Linked DNA regions of Anolis sagrei. The protein of the gene in region 4 purifies or fractionates together with the protein of the main gene of each other region. This does not show direct contact. Links are inferred from orthologs where the notes say so. Each region holds a gene or a part of one and is shown on either strand. Other genes may lie near its edges. The genes, in order: RANGAP1, FYTTD1, E3 SUMO-protein ligase RanBP2 and NXF1.

Region 1 (7,330 bases), on a different chromosome or scaffold from region 4:
TAACCAGCATTCATGGGGATTAGCAGATGCTGGATAAATGTAGTTTGCCTAGTTTGCAACAGACCCCTCAACCTCTGAGGATGCCTACCATAGATGTGGGCGAAACATCAGGAGAGAATGCTTCTGGAACATAGACATATAGCCAGAAAACTCACAGTAACCCAATCAAGTGGCAGCTTTAGGAAATAATGGTTTTGTAGTGTACTTTGTGTTTACGTAAGGGATCCCTTTGCAACTGCAGTACAACAGCTTTGTGTAGCATTTCTGAGCACAATACAAAAACTGCTAGTAATCTCTTTCAAAGCGCTAAACACACATTATTTCAAAAGGTCCCTTTTCCTCACATGTTTCCACTGACCCACAGAGTTTGGCTGCATTGTCAGAAATGCAATTTGGAGATGGAGCAGCCCATTTGTAGTTGATAGGACCAGTATTGTGTAGTATTTACTGGCTTTTACTTGCGCTTAATCCACAAGGCCAGCTAGGATCAGTGGGTTGTTGTGAGTTTTCCGGGCTGTATGCCATGTTCCAGAAGCATTCTCTCTTGACGTTTCAGCTGAATCTATAGCAGGCATCCTCAGAGATTGTGAGGTCTGTTAGAAACTAGGAAAATGGGGTTTATATATCTATGGAATGTCCAGGGTGGGAGAAAGAACTCTTGTCTGTTTGAGGTAGGTGTGAATGTTTCAACTGGCCACCTTGATTAGGATTTAATGGTCTAGCAGTTGCCTAGTTTCCAACAGACCTCCTCACAACCTCTGAGGATGCCTGCCATAGATGCAGGCAAAATGTCAGGAGAGAATGCTTCTGGAACATGACCATACAGCCCAGAAAACTCACAACAACCCAGTCATTCCGGCCATGAAAGCCTTCAACAATACATCCAACTAGGATCGCTTCTGAAATTCAAAAAGGACTGCAACTGCATTATTTCTTAATTATTCATGGAAATCACGAATCATATATCAACTTTTTTACTATATGGAGGCAATGAGCCGCTCCTGATTCCTCACTATTCTTACTAGGTAAAGGCTTCCCCCTGACATTAACAATGCTTGACTGGGGGTTGGTGCTCATCTCCATTTCTAAGCCGAAGAGCTGGCATTGCCTATAGACACCTCCAAGGTCATGTGACTGGCATGACTGCATGGAGCACCATTACCTTCCTGCCAGGGTGGTACCTATTGATCTACTGCAAACTGCTAGGTTGGCAGAAGCTGGGGCTAGCAGCACGAGCTCACACTAGTCCCTGGATTCGAACCTGCAACCTTTCGGTTAGCAAGTTCAGCAGCTCAGCGGTTTAACCCACTACACCACTGGGGGTTCCTTATTTATTTACCATATTTATATCCTGCAATCTCAGCCCAAGGGTGACTCAGGGCAAATGGCACAATTTGATATTCACAATAACGTAAAAACAATTAATACATTTAGCATAAATAACATTAAATAAAATAATAAAACCCATAAAAGTATAAATCCTCAGCGTCTCATTACTAAAATCATTATCTCATCGCATTGTCCAGTTGTTCCAAAGATCAGTTTGTCTGCTACACTGCATTTAGGAAAGCTTGCACAAAAAGCCAAGTTTTAACTTTTTTACGAAATATTATGAGGTTGGGGGCTGATCTGATATCCCTACTATTCGTATTAGTATTGTGTGTTTTATGAAGACATTGAATGTTTGCCATTGTTATGCTGGAATCCGCCATGAGTCCTCTCAGGGAGAAAGGGTGGAATACAAATAATGTTGTTGTTGTTATTGTTATTATTATTATTTGAAACACAACAAGATGAGTCCATAGCAGACAAGATCACTCTGCTGGCTGTTGTATTGGATCACACATCAGACACTTCCTAGGTGTCTAGGACTGTGTGATGTATCGGGAAATAATGTGTGCTGATCCCAGTAAGGTGACCTTTTGCAGCTGGCAGATGGTAATCTTGTCAGTACCGATTGGGTTTAAGTGCAGGACAAAGTCTTTAGGCACTGCACCCAGTGTGCCGATCACCACTAGGACCACCTTGACTGACTTGTGCCAGAGTCTTTGCAGTTCGATCTTTAAATCCTCATATCGTGTCAGCTTTTCCAGTCGTTTCCCTTCAATCCTGCTGTCACCTGGGATTGCAACATCGACGATCCATACTCATGAGGTCAGGAGTATTGTGCTCCAAAACTCTGTCTGAATCCAGAAGTCCCAGAGGAGTTTGACATGTTCATTCTCTGTAACTTTTCCCGGCTTGTGATCCCACCAGTTCTTTGTGACAGGCAGATGGTATTTGTGGCACAAGTTCCAATGAATCATCTGAGCATTATTATTACTACTACTACTATCCCTTTCCTATGCATTTTCCAATTTATTTTTGTCATCATTTATATAATCATCTACACTGTAGAATTAATGAAGTTTGGTCCTGCTTGAACTGCCAAGGCTCAATGGGAGTTGTAGTTTGTTGAGGCTCCCATGATACCACACCACTGAGACACCTTAAGTGGTGTCAAACTTAATTAATTCAACGGTGTAGACTAGGCATGGGCAAACTTGGGCCTTCCAGGTGTTTTGGAGTTCAACTCCCATCATTCCTCACAGCCTCAGGCCCCTTCCTTTTCCCCCTCAGCCGCTTAAGCGGCTGAGGGGGAAAAGGAAAGGGCCTGAGGCTGTAAGGAATGATGGGAGTTGAACTCCAAAACACCTGGAAGGCCCATGTTTGCCCAGGCCTTTGGTCCCACGGGGCGTGACGTCACACACGGAAGAAACTGATCAGTTTTGGATAGGCTTTCCAATCCCGGTCTGTAATAGCCCAGGACACGTGTACCGTGACGACGTGTGGATGCGCCCACACGTGTAGCCCTGGGGCCAAACGCCAGCGTGTCTTTCCTTCCTCAAACTGCCGGGAAACGCGAGGAAACTTTATTTCAGAGGAACAAAAATAATTAACTCACCCTCCCACGCTTCTTTCCGCCGTTTAGTCAAACGTGCTCCAATAAATCAAACCCACGAACCTGCGGAGTCCCCCGATCGCAGCCCTTCACGTCGCCGCGCTCTTGCCTCTGGAGAAGAGGGGGAGGAGGATGGCGTTAGCAGGAGGCGGAGGATTTGAAAGCCGGCAGTTTTGTTTCCTGGATGGTGATTCGCTGTCTTAGCGCTTCTGTTTCTTGCGCTTGCGCAGAGTGGATCTTGGTCCTCCTCCTCGTCCTCCCAGAGGCCCTCCTCGTGCAGCCAGGGGTGGCTCAGAGACTGAGGCGGGTGGGCAGCGGGAGGGGGAGGTCACAATTTCGTGCCTCGCGACGCAGCCGCCTTTGTCGCGAGGCATCATGGGAGTTGTAGTTTTTAATAACCAAACGTTTGAAGCCGTTTGAGGAAGGCACCAGGAAGCAGCATTCCTTACCAATTGGGTTCTAGACTAGAGAAGGCTCCTGGACCTTGTGTAGAAGACGGAATTTCCTTGTTTCTTTGTGCCCATCTACATTCTAGACTTAACGCAGTTTGACAACTATTTTGGCTGCCAGGGCTCAATCCTATGGAATCCTGGGAGTTGTAGTTTAAGATCTTTAGTCTTCTCTGCCAAAGAGTACTGTATTAGTACCTCACCGAACTACAGTTCCCATTATTCCATACCATTGGGCCACTGCAATTAAAGTGATTTCAAGCTGTGTTAATTCTACAGTGTAGATCAGGCCAACTTGGGCCCTCCAGGTGTTTTGGACTTCAACTCCCACCATTCCTAACAGCCAGTAGACCAGGCACGGGCAAACTTGGGCCGTCCAGGTGTTTTGGACTTCAACTCCTGATATCGAGCTAGAATTTAGAGGCTCCCGCAAGGCAACATCTTTGAAAAAACAGCTGGACGCCAGGTTGGGGTTTTAGAGGCTAAAAAGGTTATTCCCGGGGCAGCAGAGCAAAACTAAGATAGCCATTAGTATTAGAATTCTCCCAGGAGAAGAATGACACAATTTTAGAAGCGATCCGTTGACTCGCAGATACGGGGCCCCGAAGGGTTTCCATACCCGCTGTTTAAGGGAGTGCAGTTTCGGCCTCCCCGGGATGCGAAAATCGCATTCCGGGAGGGCCGGCAGTTATCTGCAGCCCGGGAGAAGAAAGGTTTATCGAAAGAGAAGTTTGAGGCAGTAAAGGGACACAAAGTAACACTATGGAGAGGAAAAAAGTTACAATTAATTCATACTTTTTATTGGGGGGATTCATTACAATGTTAGTAAGGGGGAAAGGCAAAGAAATTAGAAGGCTTCTGAGTTGCAGCTGCTGCTGTGGTCACGTTCATGCGGTTGGCCCAAGCGGGGCAATGGAGAACTGAGGAACTCCCTGCTGTGGGTCAGATCAACTTGAAGGCAGGGAGTTCCAGGTTCAGCCTCACCTAGAGGGCCCAAGTTGGCCTATGCCTGGTGTACATGCACCCAAAGTCAATAGAATTACTCTGTAAGTATTGCTTTCAAGAAGCAGGCCAACAGAATCATAGAGTTGGAAGATACCTTGTGGGCCATCCAGTCTAACCCCTGCCTGGGAGCAGGAAAATCACATTCAAAGCACCCCGACAGAGGACCATCCAGCCTCTATTTCATTTATCTATTTTTAAAAAACATTTCCATTCCAACCCTTCTCACGCTGAAGGGGACTCAGGGCAGAGCACAACACATATACGGCAAACATTAAATGCCAGAACATAAATAAACTATAAAAAAACATAAACATTAAAATCCGTTATCCCACTTTGAAATCAATTATTTAAAATCGTCTCAAAACAGCCATATTGACTTTGGTTGGCAGTGTAAAGTTTTCTGTTGTTGCCTTATTGCACTGCTCCAAAGGCAGTGCAAAAACCCAAGCTCTTACCATCTTTCTGAATGACAGGAGGGAGTAGGCTGATCTAATCTTGCCAGGAAGGGAGTTCCGTAGCCAGGGAGGCAATCACTGAGAAGGCCCTGTCTCTCATCCCCGCCAATCACTGTGATGGTGACGAGACTGAGAACAGGGCCTCCCAATAAGATCTTAATCTCTGTTTAAAAGCCTCCAAAAAAGAGCCTCCACCACACTCCAAGGCAGTGAGTTCCACTGCTGAACAGCCCTCACAATCAGGAAGTTCTTCCTAATGTTCAGGTGGGATCGCCTTTCCTGTAATTTGAACCCATTGCTCTGAATCCTAGTCTCCAGGGCAGCAAAAAGGAAGCTTTCTCCCTCTTCCTTATGACATCCTTTCACATATTTATACATGGCCATCATGTCTCCTCTCAGTCTTCTCTTCTGCAGTATAAACACACCGTACTCATTTCTTTAAGATGCTCCTCATAGGGATTAATGGTTTCCAGACCTTTGATCATTTCAGTAGCCCACAGTATATACATACATACACACACACATATGGTGACATACACATTAAAATTAGAATATACACATTAATCAGCTGGTGACTATGAAGAGGGGGAAATCCCATTAATAGAAAGAGGAAGGAATGGAGAGAGCATAGAGTTCATTAGAGAGTGCATAAGCAAAGAAAACTGAGACAGCTTTAATTCCAAACACTTCCACTCCTCTCTGTTCTTTTGGCATTACAAGTTATACAATATATATAAATGTATTTTTGTTCTGCATATGAATGTAGCAAGAGATCTGTGAAAAAATACAAAGCACAATGATTACTTTCATAGGTAAAACAATATTTGTGCATGCATTAAAAAAAGGATTATCAGCCGCAAGAAAATTGATGTCAGGTGACAGGATATTCCTGCGTACTCTCCAAATGAGTGTTTTTAATATAAATGTTATTGTATTATCATTTTTAATTTTTTATGTCCAAATATTATTTTATGTCCAATTCTCCCACACCAGAAACAAGTTGCACTTTCTCAAGTCACTCCTGACACACACACACATTTACACTATTATTTATTTATTTATTTACAACATTTATATGCTGCCCTTCTCACCCCGAAGGAGACTCAGAGCGGCTTACATGTAAAAAGTAAATACAATATATTATATTACCATTTTGTTGTTGTTCATTTGTTCAGTCGTTTCTGACTCTTTGTGTCCGGCTCCCTGTTGGCAGTCACCACCCCCAGCTCCTTCAAGGTCAATCCAGTCACTTCAAGGATCCCATCCATCCATCTTGCCTTTGGTCAGCCCTTCTTCCTTTTTCCTTCAATTTTCCCCAGCATAATTGTCTTCTCTAAGCTTTCCTTTCTTCTAATGATGTGGTCAAAGTACTTAATCTTGGCCTCTACTATTTATTTATTTATTTATTTATTTATTTATTTACAGTTCTTATATTCCGCCCTTCTCACCCCGCAGGGGACTCAGGGCGGATTACAGTCAACACATATATGGCAAACATTCAGTGCCAGTTTTGACAAACAACGTTTAACACACAAATACACCAAGGCTATTTAACTTTTTTCTGGCCGCCAGGGGAGCTGCTGCTTTTCATCGTCCATCAGCGACACCGATGAAGTTCTTCCGCATTCCACATTCCCCGGAGTCTTTTTTCTTTATGGCCTCATAAATTAGTTAAATTTAGCCTCCCACACAAGGTGGTGCCTTATTTTCCTACTTGACAGATGCAACTGTCTTTCGGGTTGCAAAGGTCGACAACAGGCTACACAATGGCTGGACACCCACTCCAGCCCGGGCTGGCTTCAAACTCATGACCTTTTGGTCAGAGTGATCTTAGTGCAGCTGACACTCAGCCAGCTGCGCCACAATCCCGGTGCTATCCTTCCCTTCAATGAGCAGTACTATCCTTCCCTTCAATGAGCAGTCGGGCTTTATTTCCTGAAGTATGGACTGGTTGGATCTTCTCGCAGTCGAAGGCACTCTCAGAACTTTCCTGTGGCACCACAGTTCGAAAACATCTCTTCCTTTGCTCAGCCTTCCCCTTGGTCCAGCTCTCACATCTGTAGGTGACTATGGGGAATACCATTGCTTTAACTATGCGGATCTAGCACAATATTAATACTATATATTCGATTGTACTATAACATTATACTGTAATATTGTTAGTAATATTACATGTAATATAAAATATATAATTATAATATTATTATTAGTATTACATTGTATTACATTATAATATTACCAATATTATATGTATATACAATATATTATATTATATTGTATTATATTATATCATATTATAAGCACATTGCAGGAGACAAGATGGAACTGCAGGTTTATGGTCCCACCAGTTATTTACTACTGGCAGGTGGTACTCCTGACATAAGTTCCAATGAATAATTTGGGCCTCATAGTTGTCTCTCTGTTTGTAGTCTGTCTGTGTGATTTTCTTGCAGCAGCTGAGGATATGATCAATGCTTTCA
Region 2 (8,090 bases), on a different chromosome or scaffold from region 4:
AACTACATCACCAGTGGAACCTCATCTGTGAAGACTGTGTGTTGTTCAGTTGTGCACTGACCTCCACACATTAAAAAAACCCACGCACAGGCGTCTTCCAAAGAAAATAAAAACCAAGCAACCAAAGTCCCATGGCGATCAGCGAGTGGCGACGGGGGCAGGACTGTGAAATCTGGAAGCCCCTAGTCACAGACTGGCACATGGGCGGTGGGTACGGACTCAGTCGCTCTACCTCAAGGTCCGAGGCAGTTGAGTAGTTCGGCAGCTGTATCCGCGACTGAGCAGCCCTTTTTAGGACCCACTCTGCTCACCCCACACGGGGAGGGGGCTAGAAAAGGTGCCCTAAACATAGTCTGCCTCACTTATCCCTGACTGGACTGCCGCGTCCAGTGGGGTCACCACCCTGCGGCCAAAAAAGGAAAATGAACTTCGGTACGTGGAACGTACGGACTCTGATGGACAACAGTGACAGTGAACGCCCCGAACGCAGAACTGCCATCATCGCAAGGGAGCTGGGACGCTTCAACATCGACATAGCAGCCCTTCAGGAGACCCGGAGAGCAGGAGAGGGACAGCTGAAGGAAGAAAAAGGAGGCTACACCTTCTTCTGGAAGGGACTGCCCGAAGAAGACCAAAGACTGCACGGAGTTGGCTTTGCCATCAGGAATGATCTGGTGAAACATCTCTCCGAAGCACCCACTGGCATCAACGAACGACTCTCAACCCTCCGAATTGATCTTGCCAAAAACCAACGGGCAACCATCATAAGTGCCTATGCACCAACACTAGACGCTGATGAAGACATCAAGGAGAAATTCTACTGTCAGCTGGACAACGTCCTATCGGGGATACCTAAGGAGGACAAAATCATTCTCCTGGGGGACTTCAATGCAAGAGTCGGGCGAGACTTCGACCTGTGGCCAGGCACCATAGGAAAAGACGGGGTTGGAAACAGCAACTCGAATGGCATCCTGCTTCTCACCAAATGTGCGGAGCACAACCTTGTCATCACCAACACGCTCTTCCGCCAGAAAAACAAGTTCAAGACATCATGGAAGCACCCACGGTCAAAGCATTGGCACCTCTTAGACTATGTAATCACACGTGCCAGAGACCGCCGTGACGTACTCCTCACAAGAGCCATGACAGGTGCTGACGACTGCTGGACCGACCACAGGCTAATCCGATCCACGATGGCTATCAAGATTGCCCCCAAGCGCAGACTCCAAGGAAGAAAGACAAGGCGCAAAATGAACACCCAAGCCCTTCAAGAGCCCTCCAGGCGAGCCCATCTCCAAACAGCACTCAAGGACCATCTACCCACAGTACACCCCGAAAATGTTGAGGAACACTGGAACAAACTGAAGACCTCCATCATCCAAGCCTGCGAAGAATCTATTGGATACCAAGCCAAGAAACATCAAGACTGGTTTGACGAAAATGACATCGAGATCCAACAGCTAATCGACAAGAAAAGGAAAGCCTTCCAAACATGGCAGAGAGACATCAACTGTGCTGCTAAGAAAAAGATCTACGCCAGTGCAAAAGCTGAGGTCCAAAGAAGGACAAGAGAACTCAAGAACATCTGGTGGACAAAGAAGGCTGAAGAAATCCAACACCTGGCAGATACCCATAATGCTCAAGGATTTTTCAAAGCCACAAAGGTCATCTATGGGCCAAGAAACCATGGCATACAGCCTCTACGCTCATCAGACGGAACCAAACTCCTGAAGGACCAAAAGTCAATTGCACTACGTTGGAAAGAACACTACCAAAGCCTCCTAAACCGCAGCTCCAGTGTGGCCGAAGAGGTCCTCTCACAAATCCCGCAACAACAAACCAGGGATGAGCTTGCAGCACTGCCTAGTTTGGAAGAAGTCAGCAATGCCATCAGCCAACAAAAGAACAACAAAGCCAGCGGACCGGATGGGATCCCTGCTGAAATCTTTAAAGAGGGAGGACCTGCGCTGACACACCAACTCCACCAGCTCATAGAAAAAGTGTGGGTGACCGAGAAAATCCCAGCAGACTTCAAGGATGCCACCATCATCACCCTCTTCAAAAAAGGGGAAAGAACAGACTGCGGAAACTATCGAGGTATCTCCCTTCTAACCTCCGCTGGGAAAATCCTCGCAAGAATCCTTGCAAACCGCCTTCTGCCCCTCTCAGAAGACACCCTCCCAGAATCCCAGAACGGCTTCCGCCCCTCCAGAGGAACTGTGGACATGATCTTCACTGCACGACAACTCCAAGAAAAATGCAGGGAACAAAACCAACCTCTGTACATGGCATTCATCGACCTTGCAAAGGCATTCGACACAGTGAATCGCAGCGCTCTCTGGACCATCCTCCACAAAAACGGGTGCCCAAGCAAATTTGTGAACATCCTGCGGCTCCTCCACGATGACATGATGGCAACAGTCTTGGATAGCAATGGCTCCCAAAGTGACCCATTTAAGGTGGAATCGGGTGTCAAACAGGGATGTGTTATTGCCCCAACTTTATTCTCCATCTTCATCGCCATGATACTACACCTTGTTGATGGGAAGCTTCCCACCGGAGTGGAAATCATCTATCGGACAGACGGCAAGCTATTTAACCTCAGCAGACTGAAAGCCAAAACCAAGGTCACAACAACATCTGTTATAGAACTCCAGTATGCTGATGACAATGTTGTCTGTGCGCATACAGAAAAAGATCTACAAGCCACTCTCAACACCTTTGCAGAAGCATACACAAAGCTTGGCCTGTCACTGAACATCGAGAAAACCAAAGTGCTGTTCCAGCAGTCACCAGCCGCCCCCTCTCCAATGCCAGAGATACAGCTTAATGGCGTAACATTAGAAAATGTGGACCATTTCCGCTACCTTGGCAGCCACCTCTCCACCAAAGTCAACATCGACGCCGAAATACAACACCGCCTGAGCTCTGCCAGTGCAGCATTTTCCAGAATGAAGCAGAGAGTGTTTGAGGACCGGGACATCCGTAGGGAGACCAAGGTGCTTGTCTATAAAGCTATTGTCCTCCCAACCCTGCTATATGCCTGTGAGACGTGGACTGTCTACAGACGTCACATGCAGCTCCTGGAACGATTCCATCAGCGCTGCCTCCGGAAAATCCTGCAAATCTCCTGGGAAGACAAGCGGACAAACGTCAGCGTGCTGGAGGAAGCAAAGACCACCAGCATTGAAGCAATGGTCCTCCAACATCAACTCCGCTGGACCGGCCACGTTGTCCGGATGCCTGACCACCGTCTCCCAAAGCAGTTGCTCTACTCCGAACTCAAGAACGGAAAACGGAATGTTGGTGGACAGGAAAAGAGATTTAAAGATGGGCTCAAAGCCAACCTTAAAAACTCTGGCATAGACACTGAGAACTGGGAAGCCTTGGCCCTTGAGCGCTCCAGCTGGAAGTCAGCTGTGGCCAGCAGTGCTGCAGAATTCGAGGAGGCACGAGTGGAGGGTGAAAGAGAGAAACGTGCCAGGAGGAAGGCGCGTCAAGCCAACCCCGACCGGGACCGCCTTCCACCTGGAAACCAATGCCCTCACTGCGGAAGAAGATGCAGAGCAAGAATAGGGCTCCACAGCCACATGCGGACCCACAAGGAAACCCATGATGGAAGACCATCTTACTCGTCCAACGAGGGATCGCCTAAGTAAGTAAGAAGTAAGTAAGTTCATATCTGTATTTTATTAATATAGATAGATAGATAGGGCTGGTCCATATCTGTATTTTATTAATATAGATAGATAGATAGATAGATAGATAGGGCTGGTCCATATCTGTATTTTATTAAGATAGATAGATAGATAGATAGATAGGGCTGGTCCATGAGGTCAGGAAGAGTCAGAAACAACTGAACGAATGAACAACACAGATAGATGGAGAGATAGAGAGATAGGTAGATAGATAGGTAGGTAGGTAGGTAGGTAGGTAGGTAGGTAGGTAGAGAGATAGGTAGAGAGGTAGGTAGATAGATAGGTAAGTAGGTAGGTAGGTAGATAGGTAGGTAGAGAGATAGATAGGTAGATAGATAGATAGATAGATAGATAGGGCTGGTGCATGAGGTCAGGAAGAGTCAGAAACAACTGAACGAATGAACAACGCAGATAGATAGATGGAGAGATAGAGAGATAGGTAGATAGATAGGTAGGTAGGTAGGTAGAGAGATAGGTAGAGAGGTAGGTAGATAGATAGGTAAGTAGGTAGGTAGGTAGGTAGGTAGATAGGTAGGTAGAGAGATAGATAGGTAGAGAGCTAGATAGATAGATAGATAGATAGGGCTGGTGCGTGAGGTCAGGAAGAGTCAGAAACAACTGAACGAATGAACAACGCAGATAGATGGAGAGATAGAGAGATAGGTAGATAGGTAGGTAGGTAGGTAGGTAGAGAGGTAGGTAGATAGATAGGTAAGTAGGTAGGTAGATTAGGTAGAGAGATAGATAGGTAGAGAGCTAGATAGATAGATAGATAGATAGATAGGGCTGGTGCATGAGGTCAGGAAGAGTCAGAAACAACTGAACGAATGAACAACGCAGATAGATAGATGGAGAGATAGAGAGATAGGTAGATAGATAGGTAGGTAGAGAGATAGGTAGAGAGGTAGGTAGATAGATAGGTAGAGAGATAGGTAGGTAGGTAGATAGAGAGAGAGATAGGTAGATAGAGAGAGAGATAGGTAGATAGGTAGAGAGATAGGTAGATAAGTAGAGAGATAAGTAGAGAGATAGAGAGATAGATAGAAGACATGCCTTTAAGTGATTGCAGGACGCTGCAATACTCCTCCTGGCCAGCAGGGGGAGCTGAGCTCCTTTGAAGGCCAAGGAGGCCGGTGTAAGACGCGCACGCGCAGTAGCCCTAAGCAACAAGCTCCTCGCCCGTCCCCTCTTCGCGGGGCCGGCGCACGCGCAGGAGGCGTTGCCTCCCCTGCCGGCTCGAGGCCACAACCGGCGCGCGTGCGCACTGCGGCGCTCGCGCATGCGCAGAAGGAGGCGAGCACCATCGCCTCACGGTTATCTCTCTCTCTCCATCTCTGTGTGTGAAGCGCTTGGCGAGAGAGGCCTTTCCAGCGGCCATGAACGGCTTCGGCGGCGGCGGGGGCAGCGCTGGCCTCGGCCCGCTCCGGAGCACCGGCGGAGAAACAGTTGAAAAAATCGACATGTCGCTGGGTGAGGAGAATTTAAAAGCTTGGGGCCATCCATTTGTATCAGAAAGGGGGGGGGGAGAGAATTGGGCCTGTGGGATGTACCATTGGAAGCAGAGCGGAGGGGAGGGCGGCTTTGGAGGATTCCATCCCGAGGAAGGAGCGAGAGGGAACGTTGGCGCCGCCCCCACGTGGGCGGGGCCGAAATTGATTGGCAGCTCCTGCAGGGAGGGGGCGTGGCCTTATATTAGATAGAGGTGTATATATATATATAGGCTTTCCAATCTTTGACATCTTGGAGGCTGTGCTCAGTTCCAGCCACGTGGGGGATCAAATCACCGGCATTTTTCTCACATTTCCTTATAAAGCGGTACTTATTTATTTATTTATTCCACGACATTTATTTACGACATTTTATATGCCACCCTTTTCACCCTCAAGGTGAAAAATGTAAACAACATAGATTTTCAGATTTGGTTTCAACCTGCTTTCTGAAAAAGCAATTAAAGCATTAGTATAAGTCAGCCATAGCAGAGCACCTGATTAACCAGCCTGGACACAGCATATTATTTGAGAACACAGAAATGCTGGACCACACCAACAACCACCATGTCAGACTACACAGAGAAGCCATTGAAATCCACAAGCATGTGGACAATTTCAACAGAAAGGAAGAGACCATGAAAATGAACAAAATCTGGCTACCAGTATTAAAAAAACTCTAAAATTACAACAGCAAAACAACAGAGAGGAAAAAAACCAGGCACAGATTAACACCTCTCAGCAACAGATTTTCCCAGGCTCAGGCAGGCCTTCAAATGCTAATGAAGGTGATCAGCTAAACATTCACACCTAACTGCAGCAGGGAAGAGCTCCTTGCCCCACCCCAGCCATTCCACAGATATATAAACCCATTTTTCCTACTTCTGACAGACCTCACTACCTCTGAGGATGCTTGCCATAGATGCAGGCGAAACGTCAGGAGAAATGCCTCTAGAACATGGCTCTATAGCCCGAAAAAACCCACAAGAACCCATTAGTATAAAATTAGACACTAATTTTTCGTATCTCTAGCAGTATTTAAAAAACACTGAAAGTATAAGAACAAAGCTTAAATATCTAGAACTCTGTGGTCTAGAAGATCTGGATCATGTTTAACAGACGAAGCGGCTTACAAGATATATTATTATTATTATTAAACTTTATTTGTACCCCGCTAGCATCTCCCGAAGGACTCGATGCGGCTTACAAAGGCCAAGGCCACAATACAACAACAGCACAACAAAACAACTCAAAGCAAAATCAAAAACATAAAGCAATAACAACAAAACATTACACCATGACACAGTAAAAAACTAGGGCCGGGCCAAGTAATGGGTACAGAATTAAAAAGTGCTGGGTGTGACAGGTGGCATGTTGGATTTCAGGGCAAGTGCAATGTGCAGAGAATCTTAAAATTCTAATAAAGTGCTTCTGGGACATAATGCTGGAGTTTAATAATATATATATATATATACACACACACACACACACAATATATTATTTATGGGTTGCAGCTAAACATCAAAAAAACCAAGATTATGGCAACATGAATGAATGATTGACAACTGGAAAATAGAGGGAGAAAATGTGGAGGCCGTGACAGGGTTTGTATTTCTAGGTGCAAAGATTACTGCAGATAAAGACTGGCCAGGAAATTAGAAGACGCTTCCTTCTTGGGACTGACCTTGAAGGAGCTGGGGGTGGTGATGGCTGACAGGGAGCTCTGGCATGGGCTGGTCCATGAGGTTACGAAGAGTCGGAGACGACTGAACGAATGAACAGCAACAACAACCTTTATTTATTTATTTATTTCACAGCATTTTATATGCCGCCCTTTATTATTATTATTAACTTTATTTATACCCCGCAAAATCTCCCGAAGGACTCGATGCAGCTTACAAAGGCCAAGGCCGCCAACAACAACAATATACAATACATAATAAAACTCATAAAAAATAAAATAAAACTCATAAGCAAATAATAAACCTCAAGCAAACAATAAAACAGTAAAACGATGACACCGTGACACACTTTAAAACCTACAGGCCGGGCCAAATGTAATAGTTGTTGTTCATTCGTATAGTAGTCTCCGACTCTTCGTGACCTCATGGACCAGCCCACGCCAGAGCTCCCTGTCAGCCATCACCACCCCCAGCTCCTTCAAGGTCAGTCCAGTCACTTCAAGGATGCCATCCATCCATCTTGCCCTTGGTCGGCCCCTCTTCCTTTTACCTTCCACTTTCCCCAGCATCATTGTCTTCTCTAGGCTTTGCTGTCTCCTCATGATGTGGCCAAAGTACTTCAACTTTGTCTCTAGTATCCTTCCCTCCAATGAGCAGCCGGGCTTTCTTTCCTGGAGGATGGACTAGTTGGATCTTCTCGCAGTCCAAGGCACTCTCAGCACTTTCCTCCAACACCACAGCTCAAAAGCATCGATCTTCCTTTGCTCAGCCTTCCCTAAGGTCCAGCTCTCACATCCGTAGGTGACTACAGGGAATACCATGGCTTTGACTAGGCAATGGATCTTTGTTGCCAGTGTGATGTCTCTACTCTTTACTATTTTATCGAGATTGGACATTGCTCTCCTCCCAAGAAGTAAGCGTCTTCTGATTTCCTGGCCACAGTCATAATAATCATAATAATATTAATAATAATAATAATAGACAGAATTTAAAAGTGCTGAACTTGACATGTAATATGTAGAGGTATTTGGAGGTAGGTGCAATGTGCAGATAATCCTGAATCTCTAACAAAGTGCATTTGGGACTTGAAGCCGGGAGTTTCCTATTCTGGAAAGGCACACTGGAACAGCCAGGTCTTCAGGCTCTCCCTAAAGACTGCCAATGTTGGGGCTTGTCTGATGTCCCTGGGGAGAGAGTTCCAGAGTTCCCTTTTCACCCTCAAA
Region 3 (7,524 bases), on a different chromosome or scaffold from region 4:
ATATGTATGCAATATTAGCCAAAATAGCTATATACCGTTACCTTGTATTTTTATGCAGTCCATTCATGCCAAGGCCTTTCAAATGATATGGCATATACTCAGCCTTTTCAATGTCAATATTTTTAATGATAAAAGATAATTTTCAAAGCTAATTTCCTTTTTATTTTCTCAATTCACTTATTCCAGAATAGTACACAAAATAAAAATCTGAACGTGTACAGATTCCAACTGAGAGTGTTGTGTGTTAATTGGTTAATAAAATATAATTATTTCAGCTTCTTTCTTTGCTGGCTAGAGATTACATATAAGTAACTACAGTCCTCCATATATGCCATATACCAGTCTTTATCTTCTTGCCCATTAATCATGATGACCATATCTAAGAAACCAGAGATGGTGCGGTCTATCCAACTCACAACCTTGTGCATTTTCCTGCAGGAATCAGTTGTTTATCCCACATAAGGAATTTTTGGTTTAGAGATTTACATTATGTATCTTTGTTAAATATACTTTGCTTAGTACATTGAATGCTGGAGTACCATAGCATAGATATGCTATACATCCTTATGATTATATAACAGTATTACTTTTGGTGTATAGTAGCTTTTTGCTCTTTGTATTGCGGTCTATCCAATGCCATTTTCTGAATCAGAGCCCCAAATTACCGTAGGAATAAGTCCCAAGACCAAAGTGTTCATGGAATTTACTTCCAAATAATTGTATATAGGATTTCAAAGCTGAACTCAGTGGGAATAAACATGTAGGATTGTATTGTCATAAATTTGATTTTGCTACAAAATTACAAAGGAATGACAAATCTCATTCATAAATTAGTTTCAAATTTATAATTATGCTGACCTGATGGTTCATCAAGGTCCATCAGGAGAGGCAGATAAGAAATAAAATTATTATCATTATTATTGTCATCATCATATCACCATCATCACAATAGAAACAGTATCCAAAAATGATGTGGTGGTATAATAATAGCAATACTGTGTATAAAAACATTTTAAATATGTATTTAGTTACAATATTTTTATTCTGCCCTTCTCACCCTGAAGGGGACTAAGGGTGGATCATAGAAAACATATATATGGCAAACATTCAGTGCCAATTATAACAATGACAAGACAGGCAACAGATAGACGTATAGATGGGCTTTCCCATCTTCCAGCATCTTTGGACGCTGTGCTTGGTTCTGCTGTCGCTCCACCTCCCTGCCTCCCTGTTTAGAACTGGGTCTAAGCATTCATATCATAAATCTTGGTTCCAAAATTATACCTATCCCCAAAACTCCCAAACTATGCTATTAACTCTTCTACTACATATTATGCTGTTTCCTTGACAGTCAGGGAAACAGCAATAGTCTGGATGACCTATTTCACCAGTGGCCTTGGTAATGTCAATCCCCAGATATAAATTTCTCAGTGTCCTTTAGGCAATGTTCTTGCAGACGGCCAATTCTCTCACACCAGAAGCGACTTGCAGTTTCTCAAGTCACTCCTGACACGATAAAAAAAATCCCTGTCATGGGCTCTGTAATGTACCCACACAATAAAAAAAATCCCTCAATCACAGGCTCTGAAATGTACCCACAAGCTTTGTAAGCTCCTCAACGCCCAATCTCAATAATAACAGAACATACCTTGGGTCAAGAATCTACCGAAAATAAAGTTGTGATGGTATAAAACCGAAGACCGCTTTGTGGTGATCAGAGGTGAGACCAAGTTCTTACTTTATTTGGAAATTCATCATTCTTGGGTTAATGATAACACTAGCCAACACACATTTTGATGCCTCAAATGTTAGGCCTGTTTCAGGACATATTTGGCCTGCTGATTCAAAAACTGGCATCAGTTTCCCCCTCTCAGCTCAAGTTTTTGAGATACAGAACACATGCTATATATCAGCCTTCATCTGCTCGCCTATGAGAAATCATGGTAACCATATCTAAGAAACTAGAGCTGATGTGTTCTATCCAATGCCATTTTCTGAATCAATGCCCCAAATAATCCCAGAAACAGGCCAAAAAACGAAGTTACAATACTTTTTTTTTGTTGGTCTGTCTTACGGGTGCATCTACATTGTAGAATTAATGCAGTTTGACACCGGTTTAGCTGCCATGGCATGCAATCATGGGAATTGTATTTGGTGAGGCGCCAGGACTCTGTGCAACAGTTCCCCCGATTCTGTAGCATAGTTAAGGTTCTGTCATGCTTCATTAATTATACACCCTATGTGTATGTGTTTTCATACACTCAAAGAATTTAAATAATTTGTATAAAGCGACCCTCAAGCTATGTGAATCAGATATGAAACATTAACAAATTTCGCATTTAGACTTGGGTCTCATTTTCAAAATATGCCATTATATGCAAATACTGGTTCAGGCATGTGGGGGGGGGGGTTGAGGGGCTTCAGGGCAGGCCCGTAGCCAGGATTTCGTTTCGGGGGGGGGGGGGGGGGGCTGAATTTTTTTCAGGGGGGCTGAGTCTGAGTGAAAGAGGGTCTACCCTCTACCCTTTTGTATTATTACCCCAATACCCCCATGCATATGGGATATATTGAGTATGGTGATCAGATCATGATATGAATAAACATAACAGTTTAAATAATGCACCAGTAAGGCCTTTTCGCTGAAGCCCCCCGAGCCCCCCCCGAGCCCCCCCCCCCCAGCTACAGGCTTGCTTCAGGGTGGTCTTACTGGTACACTAGTTATGTTTATTCATAACATAACGGTGCTCCATGCAGTCATGCTGGCCACATGACCTTGGAAGTGTCTACGGACAACGCCGGCTCTTCGGCTTAGAAATGGAGATGAGCACCACACCACAGATTCGGACACAACTGGACTTCATGTCAGGGGAAAACCTTTACCTTTACCTATGTTTATTCATATCATCTGATCACCATGCTCAATATATCCCATATGCATGGAGGTATTGGGATAACGCTCCAGCAAAGGGTCACCGCCTTGTTGTGGCGCTGGAGCTTGAGCACCTCAATGATGTCATGAGCGAAACCGTGAAGGGCCACCCAAGACGGGACGGTCGTGGCAGAGAGGGCAGACCAAGCGTGATCCCTGGGGAAGGCAACGGCAAACCACCCCAGTATCCTTGCCAAAAAAACTAAATGGACCAGTACAACCAGAGATATGTTGGTATGCCATTGGAAGATGGGAAGATGACACCACTCTGATGGCCGAAAGCGAGGAGGAGCTGAGGAGCCTTCTAATCAAGGTGAAAGAAGAAAGAGCAAAAGCTGGGTTGCAGCTAAACATAAAAAAAAACAAGATTATGGCAACAAGAATGATTGACAACTGGAAAATAGAGGGAGAAAACGTGGAGGCCGTGACAGACTTTGTATTTCTAGGCGCAAAGATCACTGCAGATGCAGACTGTGGCCAGGAAATCAGAAGTCGCTTACTTCTTGGGAGGAGAGCAATGTCCAGTCTCGATAAAATAGTAAAGAGTAGAGACATCAGACTGGCAACAAAGATCCGCTTAGTCAAAGCCATGGTATTCCCTGTAGTCACCTACGGATGTGAGAGCTGGACCTTAGGGAAGGCTGAGCGAAGGAAGATCGATGCTTTTGAGCTGTGGTGTTGGAGGAAAGTTCTGAGAGTGCCTTGGACTGCGAGAAGATCCAACCAGTCCATCCTCCAGGAAATAAAGCCCGACTGCTCACTGGAGGGAAGGAGATAGAGACAAAGTTGAAGTACTTTGGCCACATCATGAGGAGACAGGAAAGCCTAGAGAAGACAATTATGCTGGGGAAAGTGGAAGGCAAAAGGAAGAGGGGCCGACCAAGGGCAAGATGGATGGATGGCATCCTTGAAGTGACTGGACTGACCTTGAAGGAGCTGGGGGTGGTGACGGCCGACAGGGAGCTCTGGCGTGGGCTAGTCCATGAGGTCACGAAGAGTCGGAGACGACTGAAAGAATGAACAACAACATTGGGATAACGATACAAAAGGTTTGCTAGGGTAGATCCTCACCCCCCCCACCCCACCCCCGAATCAAAATTCTGGCTACAGACTTGACTGGTATCCAAAAACCCGGAATCCCAAACTTCTGACCCCATTCACTTTGGGATAAGGGACCCTTAATATGTCTAACGGAACTCGGAAGGTTTCTCCCTACGCGAAGTGAGTGCATCCCTATTTATTTATCTCTATGGGCGCAAAATCGATAGGCCACACCCCTTCCTCGATACTATGAAGGAAGCGCGCCTTCTAGGCGCTTCCGCTCCACCGCTGCCCGTCATTTCCGTCGCGCCGCTGACGTAACAGACGTGTATTGAGGCCCGCGCGTACTGACGCTCGTGGTGGCGTCATTATCATCATCGTTCTTCGAGAGGGGAAGCTACGAGGCCGGCTCTGCGGGGCTCCCCACCCTCCTCCTCCTTTCTGGCGGCGCCAGGGCGCTCTGTGAGGGCCGCACGCCACCATGATGAGGCGCAACAGGGCCGAAGTCGACCGTTACGTGACCTCGCTACAGGCCTCGGCGTCTTCTCCCAGAGAGGTGAGTGGCGGAGTGCGGAGGGCTGGCTGGCTGGCTGGGTGGGGGCGTCTGTCTCAGGGAAGGGTGCCCGGCTCAGCGCTATTCCCGTCAAGGGTTCGCAGGAGGCCGCTGATTGGTGCGCACAACGTTCGCTTTTGAAGGCGTTCTCCAATGGGCTTCGGCGCGCGCCGGGCCCCTACCGCACACTCGCGCGTAAATGCGCCTCTCTCGGAAGGAGGGAAAGGAGGAGGAAGCCGGGCTGGGCCCCCGTGGTGTGGCTTCCCCTTTGCTCCTGTTTGCCAACACTTTTTGTGTAATTGGCGGGAACGCTCTTGAGTTGCATTTACACCACTATTAACAGCCATAGCTCCAATGCTATGGAATCCTGGGACCTGTAGTTTGACAAGGCCTTTAGACTTCCCTGCCAAACACTGCCAAAGTACAGGAGGATTGGAGATTTCTAGAGAGGTATGCTCTCTAGGAATTTCTAGGCCCTTGAGCACACTGCTTCTTAAACTCAGGATCCCAACCCTAAAGGAGTCGCTGTACCTCAGTGTTGGAATCATAGAAAATGTGTGTCTGAATGCCACCATTTACACAAATCTGTTAACAGTGTGTACTGTTTACAGTGGGCTCTGCAAAAAACGCTTCATCTGTATTCCACCAAAAGAAAAATAGCCTGTTTCACAAATTTTGCAAATGCTGATTTGCTATCAATAAATCTTTGTTTCTTATACCCATTTTATATACCTGGGGTAATATAAAAGTTTCTCAAGTGAAAAAGGTTTAAGAAGCCATTCTCTGTTACATCTCTGCAGTCAAACTCTGGCAGAAGTTACCATAGAGTCACACTGGAGATCTCAGAGTTTCTGGTAAAGGCAATAATAAAATCTGCAAATAGTCAGATCCATAAAGTGAACCCCACTAATGTGTAGGGTGGATTGTACATTCTCCAAACTCAACCCTAGCTATTTTGTTGACCTTTCACTTCCTATGTCAGCTTTTAAAGTATTCTATTAAAACAACATCAAATCTACAACAGCCTCAAGGCAATGCAACATAGGTTGCTGTTCGCTTCTCAATATTGTGAACGTTGCTCACGTGCAAATATCTGTGCGCTTGTTAGATTGGCCTCCAGTTGTCTGCTCTTAAATCATATGTTTCTTTTCCTCAAACACATTTAATTAGAACCCATGTATGATAATTAAAAGCTTATAGAAATTATGATGTTTGAAAATTTCTGTTTTGCAAGTTCTCACTGTAAATAATTTAATGGCTTTTCCATACTGAATTCTTGTCTACTTTGCAAGGGACCGAAGAGGCAAATTAGTTGCTTTATTTAAATTTAACTTTTGATTCTAGTTGTTAGTAGCAAGTATTCTGTTCATTGTTGTTTAAGGGTTTTGTTGAATGGATTGTTGAATGGATTAATCACCATTGTTCAAAGTATTGGTTCTAACACTCCTTGTTGTTTTTTAACCCTTTAAAATTGATAAACTGGCCCACATCCTTTCTAAATCACCAGTGGACCACTCCAAAAAACGTAACAAGTAAATATTACTCCTAATAACAAAAAATGATGTTTGATGTGTTAATTTTAAAAAATGATATTATTTGACCATGTTGCCCCAGAGCAACAAGTTACAGGTAGTAAGATGATTTCTTCCAATATGGAAAGCCTTCCATTGTTTTCACTTGTCTGAAAATCCAGTTTAATGATTGCCAACCTTGAACACACGAAACATTACTTAGTATCTATTTACAGTGTCCCTTATCCATGGCGCTTGCACCGGCAGTTTTATTTACCCATGTCTGGCAAAATATGTCCTCTCCAGGTATTTTCTAGATCCCTTAGCATGAGTTTATGGTATTCTTGAGCCAAATACCCATCATTTCAATAAGATTCGCTATTACTGTGGCTCCATGTGTCCAAGTGAAGTCCAGGAATGTGGATACACATCTCGTACTGTGTTGAATTTTAAACTAATGCAAAAAAAAAAACCTATGTTGGGCCAACAGAATATCTGATTGCACAGATCCCTGCTCTTAAAGTAGAAGGTAGCACATCAAAAAAAGAGATAGACAGGTTCCTCTTATATTTTTTGCATGCACTACTCCACTCTATTATCAGAACAGAGTTTTGCAAATTCACATTCTTCTCTGTGACACAAAAATCTTTAATTTTTTTCCTGTCTAGAAAATGAGAAACAATATTATATTCTCAACTTGGGTTCTGATAAATCACCATTCAGCATGCAGAATTCATCAATTCTGCAAAATCTAATGTTTGTCTCCATTGGCAATAACTTAAAGTGTCCTACCTAGGTAGTGGTCCGTTTATGTGGTTCTCAAGATGCCATTAAAAAGGGAGATGCTAACTGGATCTTCAGATTTAGCAGGAGATAAGACAGGTCTATAGTAAGTAGGATATCCCAGTTCAAGTCTCTCTGGCCATATAATATGAAATAAACATTTATGGCCAACGGTTGCTCAGGATGACTTGCAGTAAATCATAAAAATGTTGCATGTGTTAAGAATTGAATGTGACACGTAATTTTGCAACCACAAAAGAACTATTTGTAACTTTTAAAACTATTTAAACCAATACCAATCGGTATCGACTTAAATAGTATCTCTCAGAAATACAGTGTACTGCATTTCTGAGAGATCTATGTTCGCTTTTCTCTGTTATAAAAGGGCTAGAATGAGACATCTGTGACCTTTTTCATAATCGTTAAAAAAAACACCCCAGTAGCTTTTCCTTAACTTCCAATTTAGGTTGAAATGATGGGCTAGTATAGCTTCAGTTACACAACATTTGACACAACATTCTTTACCTTGGAACACCTAGCGATCTACATTTTTGTTGTTGAGGGAGGAACTTTTTGATACATCTGAAAAGTGGTTTTCTGGAGTGACTAGTTTGTATCTCAAAGTTTACAGAAATATTTAGTGCTTTTAAATAGCCACCCTATCACCCTTGAAACACTTGTTCTCGACATCCCTGTCATCATTTACT
Region 4 (7,399 bases):
CAACCGTTGGATTCTACAACAGTAATAGGTAATAATCATGATGATGAAGGAAGGTTTCTAATAAGGTTTCTGGAGGTTTCTAATAAGATGCTAGGTGGCCATCTGTTGGGATGTCTTTGATTGTGTGTTCTTTTCTAGCAGAAGGGGGTTGGATGAGATGGCACTGGGAGTCTCTTCCAACTAGGATTCAATAATAATGATGATGATGATGGTAATGATGATGGATGGCTCGGGGGGTCTCTTCCAACTCTAGGATTCAATAATAATAATAATAATAATAATAATAATAATATAGTAATCATGATGATGGGCTGGATGGCCCTGGGGATCTCTTCCAATTCCAGGATTCAATAATAATAATAATAATAATAATAATAATAATAATAATAGATAAACCAGAGCTCACATCAGGCACAACAAAGCATTGCATGGACAGTTCCTTAACAGAATTGAAGGAAAAGTTGACAGGGAGAAAACTTGGTTATGGCTCACGAATGGAACACTGAAGGAGACAGAAGGCCTGATTCTTGCAACCCAGGAGCAAGCCATCAGAATAAAAGCCATTAAAGCCAGGACTGAAACATCAGCGGATGACCCAAAATGCAGACTGTGCAAGAAAACAGATGAAACCATGGACCATCTCCTCAGGTGTTTCAAGAAAATCGCACAGACGGACTACAAACAAAGACACAACTCTGTGGCCCAGATGATTCAATGGAACTTATGTCACAAGTACCACATATTTATGATCCTTTGTGGGATCATAAACCCGCAAAGGTCGTGGAAAATGAACATGCAAAAATACTGTGGGACTTTCAAATCCAGACTGACAAAGTTTTGGGACACAATACACCAGACATCACGATTGTGGAAAAGAAAAAGGTCTGGATTATTGATGTCGCCATACCAGTGACAGCTGTATTGAGTAAAAACAATAGGAAAAACTCAGCTGCTATCAAGACCTCAAAATCGAGCTGCAAAGGCTCTGGCATAAACCAGTACAGGTGGTCCCAGTGGTCATTGGTGTACTGGATGCCATGCCAAAAGATCTCAGCCGGCATTTGGAAACAATACACATTGACAAAATCACAATCTGTCAACTGCAAAAGGCCACCTGACTTGGATCTGCGCGCATCTTCCAAAAATACATTACACAGTCCTAGACGCTTGGGAAGGGTTCAACTTGTGATTTTTTTATACGAAATCCAGCATATGGATCTTGTTTGCTGTGACATACTGTGCTTTTGTGTCAGTAAAATTATAGTAGTTAATAATAATCATGATGATGGACTGGATGATGATGATTATTATTATTATTATTAAACTTTATTTGTACCCCGCTAGCATCTCCCGAAGGACTCGATGCGGCTTACAAAGGCCAAGGCCTCAAACAACAACAACAGACAATAACAATACAATGCAAGCAAATTAAAAACATAAGCAATAACAAAAACAAAACATTACACTATTACGCAATAAAACCAGGGCCGGGCCAATGAAGGGTACAGGTTAAAAAGTGCTGGGTGTAAGAGGTGATATGTTGGGATTCTGGGCAAGTGCAATGTGCAGAGAGTCTTAAGCTCTAATAGCCCTGGGGGTCTCTTCCAACTCTAGGATTCAACAACAACAACAGCAACAGCTGGTGTTGACCTTTAAAGCCCTAAACGGTTCCGGCCAAAGCTACCTATCCGACCGCATCTCGGCCTATGAACCCACCAGGACTTTGAGATCTTCCGGGGAGGCCCTGCTCTCGGTCCCGCCAGCATCACAAGCACGGCTGGCGGGGACGAGAGATAGGGCCTTCTCGGTGGTGGCTCCCCGGCTGTGGAACGCCCTTCCCACAATTAGATTAGCACCATCTCTAATGGCATTCCGCAAAAAATTAAAGACCTGGTTGTTTGTGCAGGCGTTCGAATAATTAGTGCAATGACTGGCAATGACATAGGAATGGAACAATGGATGACGAATCTGGAACATGTTTTTGATGACGAGACGACAGTGAATGGGTATTGTAGTAACTGTTTATTAATTGTGTAATGTGTTAGGTTGTTAACTGTTTTTATACTGTAGCACTGAATTTTTGCTGTTTGTATTTGTTGTGTAAGTCGCCTTTGGGCTGAGAACAGCGGTATATAAGTAAGGTAAATAAATAAATAAATATTCTGGGCAAGTGCAATGTGCAGAGAGTCTTAAGCTCTAATAGCCCTGGGGGCCTCTTCCAACTCTAGGATTCAACAACAACAGCAACAATAATGGAATGTCGTTCTCTGGAGGTTTTTAAAAGGATGCTAGATGACCATCTGTCAGGAGTGCTTTCTTGGGGTCTTCCTGCGTGACAGAGGGTCGGACTGAATGACCCTTGGGGGTATTATTCAAACCCTAGGATTCCATAACAATAGTAACAATAGTAATAGTTGATAACAATGATGGTGAAAGTGTCTTTCTCTGGAGCTTTCCAAGCGGAGGCTGAGTGGCCATCTCTTAGGAGAGCTTTGGTGGGGCCCACCTGCCTGGCGGAAGGGGGCGGGGGTGGATGACCCTTGGGGCCTCTTCCAACTGGAGGATTCAGAGGCTGGATGGCCATCTGTCAGGAGGGCTTGGATAGTTCCTTCCTGCCTGGGCTGGATGACCTTTGGGGTCTCTTCCAACTCGAGGATCTTTAGGCTCAGCTTCCCTCTCAGAGGCCTAATCCCTTCACCGCAACGGAGGTCTGGTTGGGCCTCTGCTGCTCGGCGAGGCCTTCCCAGGCGCCCGACCCGCCTCTGGCTCCCTTGAGGCCCTTACCGCTGTAGCCCCCTTTCCCTCCGTCCGCCATCGACCGGAACGGGCCTTCCACGAGCCTCCTGCGCGGAGAAGTGGAGAGCGGCAGCGGAAGACGTCACAAGGCCGACGGGATGCGTCTTCGCCTCAGAAACAGCCGGTCGAATCGAGCCAGAGGCGTCGAAAGAAAGGCCCCTCACTCGCTGACGGCACTGCGCATGCCCGGAAGGGCGTTTGCGTGAGCACGTTCGGTCCAGGCATGCGTAGTTGCGTCAGCGAGTGAGGGGCCTCTTGGCAGGTTACTACGCCAGGCGCATGCGCACTGTTCTAGATGCCACTACATTTCCCGGAATGCGCGCGCAACTCGGCTCCAGCCTTCTTGTTTCTCTCCGAGGACATGGAGCCCGGTGATTAGAGAGTGACGCTTCTATGCGTGTGGGTTTGTACTACAAAGCCTTCTCCATGGCTTCAGGGATCTGGACCACACTAGGCACACAGGCTTTTCATTGTCCAACTTAACAAAATAACCTATAATTATACTGGCTAAGTTAACTAAGATGAACTGAACCACCTCAACTGGGCTCGCCAGGCCAATGGAGACTCCACCTCAGACATCAGAAGAGCTGCAAGACCGAGAACAAGCCACGAGAGTCAAGATGAAGATCCACCCAGAGGAAAAGGGTTCCTGCCATACATCAGCTAAAGCTTGTGCGCCAGTTGCGCCCGTATCTTGGGAAGTCTGACTTGGCCACGGTAGTCCACGCTCTGGTTACATCCCGTTTAGACTACTGCAACGCTCTCTACGTGGGGTTGCCTTTGAAGACAGCTCGGAAGCTCCAACTAGTCCAACGCTCGGCAGCCATGATGTTAACAGGAGCAGAGTGCAGGGAGCATACAACCCCCCTGTTGTGCCAACTCCACTGGCTACTGATCTGCTACCGGGCTGATTTCAAAGTGCTGGCGTTGGCCTTTAAAGCCCTAAACGGTTCCAGCCCAAGATACCTATCTGACCGCATCTCTGCCTATGAACCCACCAGGACTTTGAGATCTTCCGGGGAGGCCCTGCTCTCGATCCCGCCTGCTTCTCAAGCTCGGCTGGCGGGGACGAGAGATAGGGCCTTCTCGGTGGTGGCTCCTCGGCTGTGGAACGCCCTTCCTACGGACATTAGACTAGCACCATCTCTAATGGTATTCCGCAAAAAGGTGAAGACCTGGCTGTTTGAGCAGGCGTTCCAATAATTAGTGCAATGATTGGTTAATGAACACTGGAATGGAACAATGGATGACGAATCTGGAACATGTTTTTGATGACGAGACGACAGTGAATGGGTATTGTAGTAACTGTTTATTAATTGTGTAATGTGTTAGGTTGTTAACTGTTTCTATACTGTAGCACTGAATTTTTGCTGTTCGTATTTGTTGTGAACCGCTGTGAGTCGCCTTCGGGCTGAGAACAGCGGTATATAAGTAAGGTAAATAAATAAATAATAAATAAACCACTGACCGCATAGGGAAGCTGATGAGGAAACACAACATACAATCTACAGACCCACCAAGAAAATCCAACAAATGCTCCGTTCAGCAAAGGACAAGAGGAATCCTCTCACCTCTGCAGGAGTCTACCGTATACCATGCAGCTGTGGACAAGTCTATATAGGGACCACCACACGCAGCAATGCCCAGACACGAATCAAGGAACATGAAAGGCACTGCAGACTACTCCAAGCAGAGAAATCAGCCATAGCAGAGCACCTGATGAACCAGCCTGGACACAGCATATTATTTGAGAACACAGAAATGCTGGACCACACCAACAACCACCATGTCAGACTACACAGAGAAGCCATTGAAATCCACAAGCATGTGGACAATTTCAACAGAAAGGAAGAAACCATTAAAATGAACAAATCTGGCTACCAATATTTAAAAACTCTAAAATTACAACAGCAAAACAACAGAGAGGAAACAACCAGGCACAGATTAACACCTCCCAGCAAGAGATTTTCCCAGGCTCAGGCAGGCCTTCAAATGCTAATGAAGGTGATCAGCTGAAACATTCACACCTACCTCCAGCAGAGAAGAGCTCCTTGCCCCACCCCAGCCATTCCACAGATATATAAAGCCATTGTCCTAATTCCAACAGACCTCACTACCTCTGAGGATGCTTGCCATAGATGCAGGCGAAACGTCAGGAGAAATGCCTCTAGAACATGGCTCTATAGCCCGAAAAAAACCCACAAGAACCTAACCTATAATTATATTGACTAAGTTAACATTTGTTTGTTTGTTTGTACCACAAAGGCTCCTCCCTGGCTTGATGGACCTGGGCCAAACTTGGCACACACACCTCTTCATTATCCAAATTAATATCACAAAGGACGACCACCTTACCCACCTCATAGGAAACCTGCTACAAAACAGGAGCTTTTTTTGTTGAGTTCCAGGGCCAGAGAAGCAGATGGCGGAAACAGAAGAACGGCCTGCCTCAGGGGAGCGTGCTTGCTCCATCCATGTTCAACATCTACACAAATGACCAGCCACTGCCAGAAGGGACAGAGTTTCATCTATGCTGATGATCTTGCCATTACTGCTCAAGCAGGGAGATTTGAGATGGTAGAACAGAAGCTTTCGGAAGCTCTAGGTGCCCTTACTGCCTACTACAGGAAAAAACCAGCTGATCCCCAACCCATCCAAAACACAGACATGTGCCTTTCATCTCAAGAACAGAGAAGCATCCCAAGCCCTGAAGATCACCATCTCTGAAGAAATCCCACTGGAGCATTGCAGCGCACCCAAATACCTGGGAGTCACTCTGGACCGTGCTCTGACCTACAAGAAGCACTGCCTGAACATCAAGCAAAAAGTGGGTGCTAGAAACAAAATCATACGAAAGCTGACTGGCACAACCTGGGGATCACAACCAGAGACAGTGAAGACATCTGCCCTTGCGCTGTGCTACTCTGCTGCTGAGTATGCATGCCCAGTGTGGAACACATCTCACCACACTAAAACAGTGGATGTGGCTCTTAATTAGACATGCCACATTATCACGGGGTGTCTGCGCCCTCCACCACTGGAGAAATTACACTGCTTAGCCGGTATTGCACCACCTGACATCCGCCGGGAAGCAGCAGCCAATAGTGAAAGGACCAAGGCAGAGACATCTCCAGCTCATCCTGTTTGGGTATCAGCCAGCACGTCAATGACTTAAATCTAGAAATAGTTTTCTAAGATCTACAGAGACACTCGCTGAAACACCTCAGCAAACGAGAGTCCAAAAGTGGCAGGCTCAAACCCAGCACCTCAATCAATGGCTGATACCAGATGAGAGACTCCCCCCTGGGCACACAGAGGACTGGGCGACTTGGAAGGCGCTGAACAGACTGCGCTCTGGCACCACGAGATGCAGAGCCAACCTTCAGAAATGGAATCCTCGACATGTGAGTGTGGAGAGGAGCAAACCACTGACCACCTGCTGCAATGCAACCTGAGCCCTGCCACATGCACAATGGAGGACGTTCTTGCAGCAACACCAGAGGCACTCCAAGTGGCCAGATACTGGTCAAAGGACATTTAATCATCTACCAAACACACAAATTGTGTATTCTGTTTGTTTGCTTTGTTCTGTTAGAAATGTAATATAATATGACCGGTTGTCCTGACATGACAAATAAATTATCCTAATTGAAATAATTGAAGGGGTTGAACTTTTAAAAAAACCCCACAGCTCCTTTCAAGCTCAGAAAAGGAAGGAAGCGGATTGTTGCTGGGTGAAGTGGCCCTCAGTGATGTGACTGGGAAAGAAAGGGAGTGAGGCAGATGGACTGCTGCCAGGTGACATGTGTATGAGGAAGAGGAAGGGAAGAAGAAAGAATAACAAGAAGGGAATGAAAGGAAATGAGAAGGGAGGGGAGAGCAAAATGGAGAAAACCGCAATGCATGATGGTGTGGAGGTTCTGGCAGCCAACGCAAGGAATATCTGAACCATGAATTGGACTTTACCAACTTGATAAGAAAGCGCAAAAGCTGGGTTGCAGTTAAAACATCAAAAAACTGAAGATTATGGCAACTAGACTGATTGATAACTGGCAAATAGAGGGAGAAAACATGGAAGCAGCGACAGACTGCAGGCAGCAGCCAGGAAATCAGAAGATGTTTCCTCCTTGGGAGGAGAGCAAGGACCAATCTCAATAAAAGAGTGACGAGTCAAGACATCAGAATGGAAGTCCGCATAGTTAAAGCAATTGTATTCCCCATAGTAACCTATGGATATAAGAACTGGACCATAAGGAAGGTTGCGCGAAAGAAGATGATGTTTTTGAACTGTGGTGCTGAAGGAAAATTCTAGAGTGCCTTTGAGGGTGACATAGTTTTTAAAGGGAATTTTCAGTGATGCTTTCAATTATTGAAAATCCTATGTGCCTGCTTTTACAAAGGGCCTTTGTTTGCAAAAATGCTGATGTGTAGAGAAAGAGCTGCCAAGGATGAATTCACCGGAGATGGGCAGATAATACTGCCCCAAACTCCCTTAATTTCGCAGCTACTTCAAGTACCGATCTATAGATATGTTCATGGCTGGAGATCAATAGACTATTGTTGTGCCATTGTTAAGGTCCCAGGTGTGCCTTCCTGTCTGTTA

Evidence for each region.
Region 1: the proteins of NXF1 (region 4) and RANGAP1 purify together in Homo sapiens (co-immunoprecipitation; 3 studies listed by BioGRID and IntAct, with this or other methods). This does not show direct contact. The link is inferred for Anolis sagrei from reciprocal best matches to the Homo sapiens genes NXF1 and RANGAP1.
Region 2: the proteins of NXF1 (region 4) and FYTTD1 purify together in Homo sapiens (affinity purification with western blotting; 3 studies listed by BioGRID and IntAct, with this or other methods). This does not show direct contact. The link is inferred for Anolis sagrei from reciprocal best matches to the Homo sapiens genes NXF1 and FYTTD1.
Region 3: the proteins of NXF1 (region 4) and E3 SUMO-protein ligase RanBP2 purify together in Homo sapiens (co-immunoprecipitation; 5 studies listed by BioGRID and IntAct, with this or other methods). This does not show direct contact. The link is inferred for Anolis sagrei from reciprocal best matches to the Homo sapiens genes NXF1 and RANBP2.

The regions. Positions count from the first base shown.
Region 1 is NC_090025.1:161,610,974-161,618,303, reverse strand, and holds the start of RANGAP1 (ran GTPase-activating protein 1), read right to left. Parts: upstream 3,215-7,330; 5' UTR 3,005-3,214; exon of another isoform or gene 2,945-3,004; intron 1-2,944. UniProt on the Homo sapiens protein: GTPase activator for RAN. Converts cytoplasmic GTP-bound RAN to GDP-bound RAN, which is essential for RAN-mediated nuclear import and export. Mediates dissociation of cargo from nuclear export complexes containing XPO1, RAN and RANBP2 after nuclear export.
Region 2 is NC_090023.1:267,833,519-267,841,608, reverse strand, and holds the start of FYTTD1 (UAP56-interacting factor), read left to right. Parts: upstream 1-4,963; 5' UTR 4,964-5,074; coding exon 5,075-5,168; intron 5,169-8,090. UniProt on the Homo sapiens protein: Required for mRNA export from the nucleus to the cytoplasm. Acts as an adapter that uses the DDX39B/UAP56-NFX1 pathway to ensure efficient mRNA export and delivering to the nuclear pore.
Region 3 is NC_090023.1:107,223,377-107,230,900, forward strand, and holds the start of E3 SUMO-protein ligase RanBP2, read left to right. Parts: upstream 1-4,274; 5' UTR 4,275-4,451; coding exon 4,452-4,526; intron 4,527-7,524. UniProt on the Homo sapiens protein: E3 SUMO-protein ligase which facilitates SUMO1 and SUMO2 conjugation by UBE2I. Involved in transport factor (Ran-GTP, karyopherin)-mediated protein import via the F-G repeat-containing domain which acts as a docking site for substrates.
Region 4 is NC_090032.1:12,370,410-12,377,808, forward strand, and holds the start of NXF1 (nuclear RNA export factor 1), read right to left. Parts: upstream 3,001-7,399; 5' UTR 2,816-3,000; coding exon 2,785-2,815; intron 1-2,784.